Tribolium castaneum: one gene and its partner. The main gene of each other region encodes a partner of the protein of the gene in region 2 in a complex. Links are inferred from orthologs where the notes say so. Each region holds a gene or a part of one and is shown on either strand. Other genes may lie near its edges.

Region 1 (3,169 bases), on a different chromosome or scaffold from region 2:
CACCGAGTGCTCGTCCAAGTCCAGCGGCTCCACCTTGATGCACTCCTCGAAAATATTCTCCGGTAGTTCCCCCGCGTTTTGTATATCGTCCGGATCAACGCCTACGTACTCGGGTCCGGTCAACTTGAGGGGGTCCTCCCTCGTGCAGTCCCCCACACTCACACTGCCCCCAAAAACACTCACGTCGACCTCCTCGATCTGGAGGTCCAAATTGCGGCTGGGGACGTGGTCCGGGTTCAGCGGATCGTCCACCGGGAAGCCCAGTATGAAGTGGTCCGAGCACACCGTCACCTGGTTGTCGCTGCAAGCCCTGGTGAACCTCTTCCAAGCGTGGAAACGTGTCCAGTTCGTCTCGTTGCGCTCCAGCGTGAAGAAGTGCTTGTTTTTGTGGACGTTGTCCTGGTTGTGGCACGAGCGCACGTCGCACTCGCGGACGGTGATGGGGGCTTGGGGCAGGTTCAAGGTGGGGATCGCCCTCGCATTGAGGGTGTCTGGGACTGTGGTCTCTCCGTAGTAGTCGGTCTTCTGGAAATGCATGGAACAGACGCGCTCGCAACGCGCTGGGGTTCTCATGAGGAGGATTTCCTCCCATAGCTTGCGGATGCACATCAGTTTTTTGGGACCACCGGCGTCGAGGGTGCTTACGGAGAGGTAAGTCGTGTCTTTGGGGGGAAATGGGTGGAAAGATAGTAAGGGGTGGGTTCGGCTGTTGGTATGGCAGTTTGAAACCGAGCAAAAGTAATTATCTTTCATTTTTTCATAGATTTCAACAGGTTTTTGCCAAAAATGCGAAAGAGAGGTTAAGTGCACTGTTGACAACTGTCACAATAAAATCATAAATTAATAATAATTTCAACCAATTTAGGCCGAGGATTAATAATAATTAATTTAATCATGGTCGTAATATATTAATTACGTGCATCTGTGGTGGTTTTTGCACAATTTTTTCGTAAAATATTAGGGTACGTTCCATAAAATTGTGCTAGTGTCACTTGGAATAACGGATCCTTGTATCTCCTCTTATCTGTATCACTGAATTAATAATCTTTCAGTATTTTGTAATTATGTAATTATGTATATTTCATAATCATAAACGAATTTTTTGCTGAACAGCTCAATTAGGTCATTCAATTTTTTTTACAAAAAAAATTGTTTAAGTGTTTATTATCAGTTAGTTTATTCGTTAATTGCAAAATTTTCAAGTTTTTATATCGTGATAAGTAACGTCTAATAAGAATTTTTTTATTATTTTAATTTTTAAAGACTTGAATTCTATTTCAAATTTTTTAGAAAAATTTTAAATTAAGTATCATGTGGTGATAAATTTATTGCCAAAAACGCACCAATTAAACCCCGATAAAGTCATGTTTTTTATTAAAAAGGTGTTGAAGCCTTATGTTGACACGTGGATATATTGTTTCCTTTAATAAAGTATTCAAAAATTGTTACTTTCCATGTTGCGTTTTTGACAGATAACAAATCAGTCTTTCAACAACACATAAATAACAATCAAGTCACCACATATCTGTCGTTTGTCAATTACGGCAGTTGTTTTCCCAGCCGCCTCCCCCAACCGACCAAAATTTCCACATATAGCCCGACCTCGCGTACTTAAAAATAAATCACAAAAAAGCCGAATAATTTACACCGAGTAAATAAATAAATAGACAATGACGTCACTTGTCAACATTTTGGTAGCCTCTGTTCCACCCCCCACCAGTGCGTGTTTTGTCCAGTGACGTCTTGTGCAGTTTTCTCGAATCGCGTCGATTAGCTTCACGCTTTGTTACCCCATCGTCGAATACGAATTTTTGCAACAAAACCAATCGATACACCGTGCAAACGACTCATTTTCCCAATCGAAATCGCGAAAAAACCGCGAGTAAATTCCGGTCTAGTGTGCAGTGCTGCTGTCATTTTCCTTCCCGATCCAGAGTGCTGTGAAAAAATTTCGAGAGGGTTGCGATGGTTGCCGTTTTTTAGCATCGTTTTCGGGGAAAACGTCGATTTTTTGGTGAGTTTTCCACTGTTTGTTTTTGCGCAAAGTGGGCCAGTGGGCGGGGTGATATTTTGGGAGCAAGTCGCGACGAAAATACTCATTTATTCGTGAATTCGGTATTTTGGGACGAGGCAGTGGCGTACGCGGATTTTTGGCAAAGGGGGCAATGTCACGTGACTGCGTTAATAGACAGATGACGGCCATTGTGTGACGTCATTTCAGTGTCATGTCGTCCAAGCCATGGGGGGCCTTGCCCATCGTCCGGATAAACACCATAATGAAGAGTTCTTCAGAAGCGGAAAATATCAGTCGGGAGTCGTCGTTAATGATGACGAAAGCCGCCGAACTCTTCATTAAAATGTTGGCCCAGGAGGGCTATAAGTTATCCGCCACGGGTAAAAAACTTGATTACAAACACTTGTCAGAAGTGGTCAATCGGGATGAGAAATACGAGTTCTTGCAAGATATCATGCCGAAGAAAATCACGTATGCTGAGTACAAGAAAATGCAAGAGGGCCAACTGAACGGCGCCGAAAATCACCAAGAGATTTCAAGCGATGAGGAATCCAGCAGCAACTCGAATAGTGAATAAATTTTTGATTTTTCAATTTTTGTTTGATTTTTTTTCCAAGTTCAAGATTAACTGGCACGTGGCTGCTTGCGTGTAACGACTCTCCTCCTCCCCTATTCTTGCAAATACAGGGGTGGAATTTCCCCGGACGGTTATCGATTCGGACTTTCAAGGGCAGCGCTGCGGAAGTTACACCTGCTAGCCCTTTATTTATTTATTGTGGTGGCACCACTGACACAAAAAACCCTAAAGTCTAGCCCACTATGACCTTAAAATGCCTACAAGAAATAAACCCATACAGAATAATGCCCACAAAGAATAAACCCCACGTCGAAAAAATTCACATGAAAAAACCTAGGTACACGGAAAAAAGCTCACAAGTTAAGAAATGTATTGTGAAAAAAACCCACATGAAAAGAAAACCACACTGAAAAAAGCCCAGACGGATAAAAACTCACATGGAAAAAAGCTCACACAGAAAATACTCACATACCTCAAGAAAGAAAGAAGTTCACTACTACTTCAATAACTTCATTTTACGGTATCTTTAAGAGTTACTCAAAAAATACACTATAAATATTTTACATTAACAAAAAAAT
Region 2 (4,339 bases):
TTTGTCAGAGGCTCAAAAAAATATGGATCCGCTCCTGGCACAAGCACTTTTACTGAATGGAGTCATTAATTGTTTGCCGTTTTTGGCCAGTTTGATGCAATGTCAATGTAAGTTTTTTTTTAGTATAAAATTAATTTTCTCGCGAGATTTTCCTCAAACAAACCGAAAAATCGAGTAAAATGACATTATTTTTTTTAGTTTTAAAAGTCAAAAAATATGATTATGTCTATATCTTTTTTTCTCAAAAATTACCACAATTGGCCAAAAATTATTTGAAATTACCATTATTTTGAGCTTTTTAATTTAATTTTCTGTAATTTTTTTGTTACAAACTAAAAAACTTTGGGATTTTACTGAAACTAGGCCAAAAGTCACACCTTCTGATAAAAAAATTAAGCTATTTTCGTTTTTCCAGCGTTTGAAAGCGGTTTTTTAACTAAATATTCACTTTTTTTGCGCTAAAAACTATATAGCTTTGTGAGATTTTACTAAAACTTGGCCAAAAGTCACATCTTTTGATAAAAAAATAAGCTATTTTCGCTTCTTTTCAATATTTAAGCACAAAAAATTGCGTTATTTTTGCCTTTTTTATATTTATATTTTATTATATATTCGCTCATTTTTATGAAACCCACTCAAAAAGGTACATAAATATTACCTAGATAAAAATTAAGTATTAGTATTTAATTAAGTACGGCCAAGAAATTACAAAATGGGGTCCAAAACCACTTGATTTTTCCATTTTTCGAGTTTTTAATCATGTTTTGAGCTTTTTCGAACATTCAGTTCCGTGTTTATCAACAAATTTTTTTCTAGTGATTGTTACTTTTGCTTAAAATCATACATGAAGACTTCTTAAGAATTATTTTCGCTTTTATTAAAATCGAGCTTAAGTTGGCAACGCCGAATTATTTGCCCGTCAGTGTTGCCAACCTAAATTTCAAAGTCAGTGCCTACTTTGGCCCGATTTTTAACCAATTTGCAGGCAACGTTGCAAAAATCACAGAAAGCGACCTCAAAGAAGTGGGAATTGTGAATAAATCGGACCGGGTCCACATTTTAGACGCATTCCAAATGTACCGAAAGGAGCAAATACCGACCGATACGGCCCCCTCAGCTCCAGTGCTGCCAATCGAAGAGGCAAGTGCGCCACCACTCGAAAATGTCGCAAATTTGGGGACTGAATGCGTCATTTGTTTGGACTCAACTGTATGTTGTTTATCTCAAATTAAGGCGAATTTTGGTGTTTTTTTTTTGCAGTGTGAGGTGATTTTCGTGCCATGTGGACACTTCTGTTGCTGTTCCCAGTGTCCTGTGACCTTGAACGACTGTCCAATGTGCAGGACTTCAATCGAACGCAAAATTAGAATAATTTCATAGTTCGTTCAACTGCCGTCACTTTTTTTGCTCAGTGTTGCTAAAGTGTGAATTCTGCACGATTTGTGGCCTTAATCTAGTCAGTTGTTACTTTTTCTCATGAATAAAAAACTATCACAAAAAATTTATTTTTTATTACGATTCTCCCGTTTCTTCCTCTTCCACGGCCTCCTCGTCGTTGTCTTCCGCCATTTCAACGTCGGCCCCCTTCTTCACTTTCTTCTTCTGCTTCGCTTCTTTGAAATCTGAAGTCGGTTTTTGAAACGTGAACATAACCTCAAAAAAAAACTAACCTCTCAGCATCACACTTAAGGGCTCCACGAATTCGTCAAACTCGAGCTCTTCTAACGCTGTTAGAATGTCTTGACCCAGAAGAGTCTTTCTGTTCACTTTTTGCGCCTCTTTGGTGGCTTGTGAGGTTATGTACAGGACAAAAATTGAAGCGGCCCTTGACAGGGCCGAACGGGCGTCTTTACCAACACTGACGTGTTCAGGCAATGCGTCTTTAATTATCTTTTGCACCGTCATGTTCGGCAAATTCAAATCTTCCAGTTTTTCGGCCATTTGGTCACAAAATTCACAAAATTACTTTTCCCACCAAAAACAAAAAACGCGCATGCGCAATGCCAACCGCCATGTTTGAATTTTGATTAAAAAATCATTAATTTGTTTATTATTGGTCACCTAATAATTATAAATTTGTGTTTTTTGTTTAATTAAGCTTGGGGGGCTCGTGACGAATGGGGTGGTTTATTTTAGGGGCTGTTTTTTGCAGTTTTGGTGGGGGGCCTTGAACTATTCACCCTTGTTGGCCTTGGTTATTGAGGTTATGTTATAAACGGTTGACGTTTTGAAAATATGTGAAAAAGGTGAGTTAATTTTGCATTTTCTCACCTAAATTAACACAAATGTGGGTCAATTCGTGAATTGTACGTCAGTCTAATCAATTTCCAGTCGTAATTCGCTAAAAAAAGGGGGTTCAGAAATGTCCATAAGCCAAGTGGAAAATGTCAGCACTCGTGTAAAAAACACAAAAAAAGAGATCGAACAGCTCAAAACCGAGCTAGAGAAGCTCATAAGTCTTGGGACCCAGCCCCCTGAGCCCCCCACCCACAAGCCAGCCCCTGATACCCAAACCGTTAAAAAAAAGGCGCCCCCCGATCCCGAGAAAAAGCCCCGCAGTTATGACGTCACCGAGGCGCGTAACTACATCAAAAAACAGCGGGAAAAACGCGCCGAACAATTGCGGGCCCAAATCAACACCACTGACAATAAACTCGATCTGAAAAAGCAAAAACTGAAAGAATTACACCAGAAAACACTCGAGCTGGTGACAAAAAACGTGCAGTTGAAGCGCGAACGCTCGAAATCGCGGGACAAGGGCGAGCCCCCTGTCCGGATCGACCGCTCGAAGGCGCGGGAGAAAGGGGGCCCCCTTGTCCGAACCAACCGCCCGAAGTCACAGGACAAGGGGGGCCCCCCGAAAATCGACCGCTCGAAGTCGCCCGCACAAAAAGTTTCTGAGGGCTCCGAAAAGACGCAAAAAAGCGAGAGAATTTCGAGGGCCAAGGCCCGGGAGCCCCAGAAATTGGCGAAAACGTCGTCTGAGGCGAAAGAGACGCAAACGTGCGACAAGGGGGCGCCCTGGCTGGAGCCCCCTTGTGCGGCGTATCCGTACAATTTTATAAACACAGTTAAGAGAAAATTGCAGTTTGCTGTGAATTCGCCCCGGAATTTTATCGACATTGGGGTGCAGAATTCCGGGACTCCGCCCCTGGAAACAAAATCGAGGGAAGAAATTAAAGAACTGTTGATTAAAAGTGCCAAAAGTGAGTTGAGATCGTTTGTTTCGCACAAATGTCTCGACTTGAAGCCTGTGGAAAATTTAGAATTGAGAGAAGTGTCGAAAAATTTGTTCAATAATTGTGATAGTGGTAGTGAGTCGGATACTTCGAAAAATATTCCCGACATTTCGAGTGAAAGTCTAAAGCTCGATTTCGATAAATTGAAAAACTACAAGTTGCAGAAAAGTGACGATAGTTACAGTTCGGATTTTCACAAAGAAAGTGTTTCATTTAAATCGCTCCTAACTGAAAAAAAAGTATCGAAAAATTTCTCTGATTCGGATTCGGTTCCCGAATCTTTGACGATGAAACAACCAAATGTTTCGCTTTCGGTTCGTAATTTGAGTCTTGCCAATGGGAAAATGAACACGGTTACGATTAAATCAGCTAGTGAAAAAAACTATTTATCGGATTCGAATTTTTCGCAAGAAAAACAGTCGTTTAAATCGCTCTTGGTTGGAGGTAAAAATTCAGAATCGGTTTCGGATCATTTGGAAACGAGTAAAATTATCACAACTGAAGAAAACACCAATAATTTGGAAACAAGTTCAAAGAATTCGAGTTCTAAAATTATTACCGAGGAAAATACGAGTAACAACAGGTCTTTGAGTTTGGAGAAGCCACAAAATGATGGTAAAAATCAGCTGAAAAATATCACACTTAGGCCAAGTTCTAGTACGGTAAGTTGTTTTTTTTTGTCTCATTTAGAACAGTTTTGAACCGAAACATTTCAATTGATTTCAAGAAAAAAAGGTTGAATTTTCACCGGAAAATTCTAAAAACTCCAACAAAAGATTCTAAAAATATGTAGTAAGCGGATTATTGTAAGACCAAAGTTTGTAAAATTGAGTCAGAAATGCAGTTATTTTTCACCGAAAAAAAAAAATAAAATCGAAATATTTTTCCAAAAAAAGGTGTTTACTTATTATTTACTTACAAAGAGAATAAGTAAATTTGAGAAATGCAATCAAAACAAGTCAAAAAAAGTGTAAAAACATGTTCTATTTTTTCCGTTTAACCTGATTTTAGAGAATTTTTTGGTTGAAAAATTCATTAAATTTGAGAAATCCTCTAAAAAACTAGGCAGAGATTGTGTAAAAACTTCATGTACTCAGAAA

The links. Proteins that work in one complex are often made in the same cells at the same time.
Region 1: the proteins of DNA polymerase epsilon subunit 3 (region 2) and Chrac-16 are in contact, whole or in part, in a crystal structure (PDB 2BYM), measured with the Drosophila melanogaster proteins. The link is inferred for Tribolium castaneum from reciprocal best matches to the Drosophila melanogaster genes Chrac-14 and Chrac-16. Residues at the interface, in NP_476646.2 of Drosophila melanogaster: Ile15, Leu18, Ile19, Glu21, Ala22, Leu23, Pro24, Glu25, Ser26, Ala27, Ser28, Val29, Ser30, Glu32, Ala33, Ala36, Ile37, Arg39, Ala40, Ala41, Val43, Phe44, Ala45, Phe47, Val48, Thr49, Lys62, Thr63, Ile64, Thr65; in NP_001285148.1 of Drosophila melanogaster: Thr35, Gly36, Leu37, Thr39, Asn40, Glu41, Val42, Phe44, Leu45, Met46, Lys48, Cys49, Thr50, Glu51, Leu52, Phe53, Val54, Arg55, His56, Leu57, Ala58, Gly59, Tyr62, Arg69, Pro70, Gly71, Glu72, Ala73, Leu74, Lys75.

Annotation. Positions count from the first base shown.
Region 1 is NC_087399.1:7,015,785-7,018,953, forward strand, and holds Chrac-16 (chromatin accessibility complex 16kD protein), read left to right. Parts: upstream 1-2,225; coding exon 2,226-2,591; downstream 2,592-3,169. Other genes in the region: uncharacterized protein LOC107398497, read right to left, coding at 1-753. UniProt on the Drosophila melanogaster protein: Histone-like protein which promotes nucleosome sliding of ATP-dependent nucleosome remodeling complexes. Part of the chromatin-accessibility complex (CHRAC) which uses energy/ATP to increase the general accessibility of DNA in chromatin.
Region 2 is NC_087394.1:1,507,985-1,512,323, forward strand, and holds DNA polymerase epsilon subunit 3, read right to left. Parts: upstream 2,014-4,339; 5' UTR 1,942-2,013; coding exon 1,671-1,941; intron 1,623-1,670; coding exon 1,513-1,622; 3' UTR 1,497-1,512; downstream 1-1,496. Other genes in the region: E3 ubiquitin-protein ligase LRSAM1, read left to right, coding at 1-107, 986-1,209, 1,261-1,380; centrosome-associated protein 350-like, read left to right, coding at 2,363-3,901. UniProt on the Drosophila melanogaster protein: Accessory component of the DNA polymerase epsilon complex. Participates in DNA repair and in chromosomal DNA replication. Histone-like protein which promotes nucleosome sliding of ATP-dependent nucleosome remodeling complexes.